2 linked regions of the Rattus norvegicus genome follow. The protein of the gene in region 1 purifies or fractionates together with the protein of each later gene. This does not show direct contact. Links are inferred from orthologs where the notes say so. Each region holds a gene or a part of one and is shown on either strand. Other genes may lie near its edges.

Region 1 (3,572 bases):
AGACTGACATTTTCTCAGTTGCTAACTGATGCAAGGGTCCAGCCTGCTGTAATGGTACCAGCCTTGGGCAGGTAGGCAGCATTCCTCTGTAGTCTTTGCTTGAATCTCTGCTCTGACTTCCCTCAGTGCTGAGCTATGATGTGGAAGTGTAAGCCAAATAAACTCAAGGTGCCTTGGTCCTGGGTGTTTATCGGAGTGACAGAAAGCAAACTAGAATACTGTCTAATCTCGTCTCCAACTGTCTTCAATATTCTACTGCTGTAAGGCACCAGAACCCAGGTACCTTACAGAGGAAAGCATTTAACTGGGGCCCACAGTTTCAGAGTCCATGACCATCACGGCAGGAAGCATTGCAGCAAGAAGGCGAGCATGATACTGGACAGTAGCTGGGAGCTTACGTCTGAACCACAAGCATGAGGCAGTTACCTGCAAACGGAGTGGGCTTTTGAAACTTCAAAGCTCACCCTCCAGAGACACACCTCCTTCAACAAGGCCACACCCCCTAATCCACGAGGCAACTCACATGTCTGTAATTCTAGTTCCTGGGGACCTAAAGCCCAGTTCTGTCTTCTATACTGGGCATGGCATACATAAGGTGTATACATATACATTCAGGCAAAACAATCACACACAAAAAAATAGATCTTAAATATTCTTTGTAAGATGTCTTACCATAGGATCCTTTGTCTTTAAACATGACAGCATAAGAAAGATATTCAGATAAGACCAAAATCTTGGGTTTTGTTTTATTTGGGGACATGGTCTCACTCTGTAGCCCAGGTTAGCCTAGAACTTGTGATCTCCTGCCCCAGTCTCCCCTGTACTGGGATCATAGGCAGAAGCCACTGTGTCTGATGTGTTTCCCTTTCCTTCTTCTCCATCCTCCTCCTACTGTTGCTTTGTTGTTGTGTAGTTGTTTTTTGAACTAGTATCTCACTGTGCAGCTCTAGGTATCCTGGAACTCCCTGTGTAGATCAAGCTGGCCTTGAACTCCAGAGATGCACCTTTCTCTGCTTCCCTCAGTGAGTAGAGGGCCCTGGCCAACCAGAGCCAGCAGAGCAGCTGCCATGGTGTGCCTGAGTCTCCTCTCTGCTTACAGGTTCTGGGGTGCCCACCTGAGCACCACCACAGGCAGAGCTGGGAGCCAGGAAGCCTGCTGCAGTCAAAGGCAGAGGCCAGAGGCCAAGGAGAAAGACTTCAGCATTGACCACTCATCAAACCTTACTACTGCTGTGTGTTCAGGGGCTTCTTATGCTCTCTGGAGACTGAAAGAAACAAACTGGGATCACATTCAGAGAAGGCCCCTGCCTCTGCCCACCGACCGGTGACAACCCTTTTCAATGTCTTTCTTTTGTTGCTGGCTCTGTTCTATTTATTTATTTATTCATTTATTTACTTATTTATTTACTTTGGAGACAGGGTCTACTGTGCTGTCTTGGCTCATCTTTGTTTTCTGGACTAGGCTGGCCTTGAATTTAAATATGCCTGCCTCCGGCTCCTGAGTGCTGGGTTAAAGATGTTATATTTATCCACACTGTGGAAAGACAAAACCAATTCTGAAAAGATATACTCTGAACTCCAGGTGTGTCACAGTACATACACACACCCACAGGTATTAAAACTCTTCTAACAAATATTTTCAGTGAAGAGCTTTCTGTTTATTTTTTATTAATTTATTTTATGTATGAGTACACTGTAGCTGTCTTCAGACACACCAGAAGAGGGCATCAGATGCCATTACAGATGGTTGTGAGCCCCCATGTGGTTGCTGGGAATTGAACTCAGGACCTCTGGAAGAGCAGTCAGTGCTCTTAACCACTGAGCCATCTCTCCAGCCTGAGCCAAGCTTTAAATAGGAAAAAACGAGAAATACTTGGTTTTGTTTTTAACACTGTCTCACTGTGTGGTCCTGGGTGGCCAGGAACTCATTATGCAGAACATGCTGGTTTTGATAAACCAGAGCAGGACAGTCTTACTGGCTGAGAGGACAATGGCTAGCATCTGAGGGACTGAGGTATAGAATCTGAGAGCCAGAGAGCTGGAGAGAAGCAACACAGAGAAAATGACTCTAGAAAACTCTGTAGCATCTCCTGAAAGGGCGCTGCACAGCGGCAGCACTGTGCAGGCAAGATGCCTCAAGGTCGAGACAAGCAACTAACGGAGAACAAGGAACAGCACAGCCCCCAGCCTGAGTGGGCCGAGCAAACAACAGGACACTTAGCAGTGCCTGTGCAAAACCCCACACTGCAACAGGCCAAACAGCGCCCATTCCAGACCCATCCGTGACAGCGGAGCAGACTGGGCTACATTCACTGGTTGCCAAGCTCAGCCCCTTAAGGGAAACATAGTCCAGGGGGTTAAAAACAGAACCACAGAAGCAGAACAGCAACAGCAACAGAACAATGAAGCTCTCACCACCCAGGTGGGACAAAAGCCACCACACCTGTGGACAACCACACTGATGACAAGAGTGAGAGAGACGCAGGCCAGGGGCGGGCTTATCCAGAGAAATGGACACAAGAGGGTGGCAGAACACACCCTGGACAGAGTCAGAGTTAAAGAAGCCAACAGCACCAGCCGCACCAGTAGCCTCCCCAAAATCTTAAAACCGACCAATGTAGCTGTACTTACCAACAGAAAACTGGGGCACTTTAAATGGGTTTGTTGTGGTAGATACGGCCTCTGTCTTGCAGCCTAGAGAGGAGTCCTGTCGTTTTATGCTGACAGTTTTATTCAACTGACATGTCTCGGTGTCCAGGTCCACTCTGGGTCCTTTGTGTTTTGGAGTCTGGGGTTGTTGAGCAAGAGGACTTGGGGTGAGGGCCTTGGGCTGCTCTGCCACTGTCTGGGCAGCATCAGCCTTTTTGGCTTGTCTGCAAAATGCTCTGGCAGGGGCTGCTGGCAAAGCCTGGTGTGACGTGGCAAGTCCTACTCTGCCCAACTTGCTGGTGACTGACTGACGCCGGGAGCTGCTAGCGGGAATACTTGAAAGTTCACTGGACTTTGCTGCAAAAGTTGATAATCAAGGCTGGTTACTCAAGCCAGTTTCCAAACAGTTTAAAACATACACGCACGCACACACACACACACACACACACACACACACACACACACACACACAATGACACCTCTAGAATATCTAGCTAACATCAGACATACTGGATGCCCATTAGGCGATGACCGTGAGGACCAGCAGGATGTGTGAACCTGAGCTGAGTACCGTCTAACTCTCAGCCTGTGTGTGCACTCACAAGGCTAAGCTCTTCTTTCTTCGCTTCCTTGATGAGCAGAAGAAAGTGGACAGTGTAGTCGACAAGCAATGGACCTACTGTGTGAGTCCACAGTGAAGACTCAAGGGGAAACTTAAGGGAATAGTTACCGTTGTAGCCATGTCTATATGGTATGTTAGCCCTACTACGTCCTACCCCACTATCTCATCTGACTCTATGACTCTACCATAAACAACACACGGTGCCAGTGTCCTGAGTCAGTAGAGAAAGACCCACCTCACAGCTCCTGCACAGTGGCAGCCATGCATTCTCCTGATCATGTACTCATGGGCCACAGAAGGG
Region 2 (3,572 bases), on another chromosome or scaffold:
TTTCTCCACACTTCAGCTAAGAGAATTATGGGGGTAAAGGTCATGGGTACTGTCAAAACTTTCTGTGTGTTTCATCAAGTTAGTGTAGATTACTCTTCCAAACGACACCGTCCTCAGCAGTGGACTGCCGTGTTCCTCTTGGGGAAGCAAGGCTCATCTGGAGTCCCAGCACTGTACAGGGCAGAGGCCCCTGCATTTTCAAAGACTTCAGGATAGAGAGTGCTTGTCACATCTGTCAGGAAGCCAGTCAGGATTGGAAGCCTTTCTGTTTGGAGTTGCATATTATGCCTGTTCCTAGGGTGGCTATAAAAAGTCAGTGCTGTTGTGCTTGGTAATAAATATATTATGAAAGATGTTTATGATGTCTTCATTCTGACTATCTCTTTATGATCCTACAGTTCTGAGAAATCAAATTATACCTGTGTTTACATGCCCCAGGAGGGTGGGTTCACCTTAAGCCATGCTAAAGAGATAGGAGGAATAATTAATTACTCCTTTAATAAACTACTATATCTTTCTTTCCTAGAATTAACTGCCCCTAGCCCAGATCGCTATGAGCTGAGCCACTTTGGGGTTTAGCTTGGTCCGCCCATCTTTCTGACTCAACTTTCCCGGATGTTGGCCTGAACCTAAGCACACCTTTCCTGGCACATCATGTTTCCTCACTCTTCTCTGTCTGTAGCCTCCTTCCCTGCCAAGTGGCTGTCTGGTGTCATGTGGTGACTTTAATTATGCCGTAAGCAGCACGGCATGGCTTCTCTTCTCTCTGAGCAGAGGGAGGTTCCGAACGTGACTGCCGTGGGTGCTTTTCTTTCTAAGTCTAATAAAATCGCCTGCAACTTCCATTTGAAGCCATTTTTTAAAGTCTTTTAATAATGAGACCATGAACTCCACAAGGGTCCCTGCATTTACCCAGATCATCTGGTGACCATGAAGAGACTCTCTTGACTTCTGATAACATTATCACATTGACCTGTGTGCCCCTACACTGTGCTGCTTGTTCTGTCCCACACTGCAGTGCTAGTGTTCCTCACTGGTTCTCAAAAGGAAGAACTGACGTAATACAGTTTCAGAGGTGGGTTTTGTGTTCATTTTAGGCTACCTGAGGAGTTTCAAAAGGTCACAGAAATAGTCCTGCCAACCTTATTTTTTCTCGTTATGGAAAATACATAAAAATATAAACAAAGAGCCACCAAGAACGTTAGTAGCTAAAGATGCACGATGTTGAGTCCTGCTGTAATATACGACACAATATTATCTTCTAGACATGCCAATGTTGGTTTGGCACCTCGGTTGCAATAACATTGAAAAGAATTTACTGTTTTCTCTCTTTTATTTTGCGAAAAGCTATTTACTTCTCTGCAAATCATTTCAGATTATGCCCCGCAGCTGGGGATTAGCTGTTCCGATCATCTTCAGGATAAAACTACACAGGTCGTTACAAGTTTCTGAGTGATGACATGTTGCTGCTATCAGATGTGGGAACACAGATTTAAAAGCTCTGCCAACACAGAGTGGCTTTGCTTACCACACAAGCTTGGCCAACCTTCGCCTTCTACAGTCTGTCCGGGGTTTGTGTTTTTACTTTTACTGTGAGTTCTTCGCACATATTTTAACAGCTGAGTAGCACTGGGTTCACAGGCACCACAACCTCACTCCGACCCCTCCCATCCCTGCTTCGGTGTCAGCCACAGGAACAGCACATGAGAGAGAAAACAAATCCCTTTCTTCCCTCTGCTAATCTAGGCTTGTCTGGGCTGGCTGCAGGCGCAGGCATGTGGCAGACGGGCTTAGATTCAGTATAAGTACATGAGAATTAGATGAACTGATAGGCAAGCTGGCTCTCCATCTGAAACTCCACAGAGCGAGCGGACACAGAGCTGAACAATGCAAGGCGCTGCTCACTCATGGTCATGGGCCCTGGCTTCCAGCCCAAGAAGCTGGATAACTCTTCCAGCACCTTGACTTCTCTCTGCCCCTTGCTCTCTGTGTCACCCAATCACCTACTTCTCCATTGTGGGAAAAGCCCACTTTCCTCTCAAAATTCCTTCAAGACGAAACATCCTCTATGATGGTCTGTTTGTTCTTCGGACGACCCACTCTGTCTTTCAAATCTACTTTGCATTAGCTTTTCTGGTGGGCCCCTTGTCTGCTCTAATTTATTCCATTGTCTTAAAACTTCAATTGAATTTTATTTTAGGAAGGGTAATTTGGTGAATTTAGATTACTATATTGAATTAAAAGTGCTGTTCTCCCCTTTTGATATTCAAAAGTTTAATTTTGAATTCAAAATTGGACACACACTAGCTAGGGCAGAGCTAATTAGTGCCAATGGAGAGGTGACAATTTTAGAAGTAATACTTGAGTGTTTTTGAAGAAACTGTATCCCACTCTATGATAAATGTTCATATCAAGATATCTGCTAATATGACAGCTAGTCCTACAGTTCAACAGCACTAATGTCCTTATAAATGCATCTTACTTCTGACATCGTTGAGAGACTCTTGATCTTTTGAGTTCATTTGACTCCAGTCCAGCTCGAGACCCTCAGAATTGCAGGTAGCTACCATGAGGTTTACTGTAGGCGGACCAGACTTACTCATGTTGCAGAAGGAAGGACTGAGGCCACACAAGGCCACCAACCTCTACCAGGCATGGATCGGAACCAAGCCTTTACAACTGCCTCACATACACACCCTGTCAAAACTCCTCCTCTTCTTCCCAGCACTTAGTGCCTCTTCCTCACCTGTCTTTCCACAGGGGCGTAAACCCTGTCTGTCTTGTTCTAATTTTCAGCTGCTCTTCTGGTGCCCAGTACATAATTCTTTACTGGATGAATGTTTCCTCAGTCCAATCCATGAACTTCTTCAGTGTAACCCCTTATAATGACAGCTTGTGAGGGAAAGGAAGGCTAGTATTTATGTGGCTTTAAATGATAGGCCAGAGTTCAGGCCACGTCTATTTGGGGGAGACTGTGGTTCTCAAATTCTCAAAGCATCCACATTTAGAGTAACAAAAGCTGAAGATCACCGCCTTATCGAAAGGCAGCTGGGTGTAATGTTTCACTCCAGTCCATCCAGGCCTCACTGCTTGGTCCCTTTGCCTTGATTTGCAACCATAGACGTATGTGCGTATCCTGCAGGAGATTTTAGCTCTAAATGTCTGAACTGAGGGAAGTGGAAGAATGGGGGATGGTGGGGGAGGGGCGCTGCCTGTCAGGAAAGAACTACCGGGTCCTTGAGCACAGTACCTTTTCAGCAGGAAAGACATGCTGCTTCATGAACTGCTTCACCCTAGTGAGAACTTCCTGGCCTCTCCTGCTCTGTGCAAACAGCCGGCTTTTTGCGTCAGCCTGTGGTGGTACAGTACTGAGAGTTCTGGGCAAAAGAAAAGAAAGGTTACAAAGGTGTCCGAAGTCGTCATTATACATTTCTTAAAATCTCCCCAGCTATCCAAAGATATCCGTAGGAGGAGCGGCCACATCTGGGAGGCTTCGGCTCATTATTCAGTTAGCCACCAGCAGCTCCAGGGAGCAAACCCAGAGCCTTGCACAGACCAGGCAATTGCTCTAC

What was found. Proteins that work in one complex are often made in the same cells at the same time.
Region 2: the proteins of Gtse1 (region 1) and Acad11 purify together in Homo sapiens (co-immunoprecipitation; 3 studies listed by BioGRID and IntAct, counting the BioPlex papers as one, with this or other methods). This does not show direct contact. The link is inferred for Rattus norvegicus from reciprocal best matches to the Homo sapiens genes GTSE1 and ACAD11.

Annotation. Positions count from the first base shown.
Region 1 is NC_086025.1:118,836,633-118,840,204, reverse strand, and holds part of Gtse1 (G2 and S phase-expressed protein 1), read right to left. Parts: intron 3,007-3,572; coding exon 2,632-3,006; intron 1-2,631. UniProt on the Homo sapiens protein: May be involved in p53-induced cell cycle arrest in G2/M phase by interfering with microtubule rearrangements that are required to enter mitosis. Overexpression delays G2/M phase progression.
Region 2 is NC_086026.1:113,580,668-113,584,239, reverse strand, and holds part of Acad11 (acyl-CoA dehydrogenase family member 11), read right to left. Parts: intron 3,378-3,572; coding exon 3,251-3,377; intron 1-3,250. UniProt on the Homo sapiens protein: Acyl-CoA dehydrogenase, that exhibits maximal activity towards saturated C22-CoA.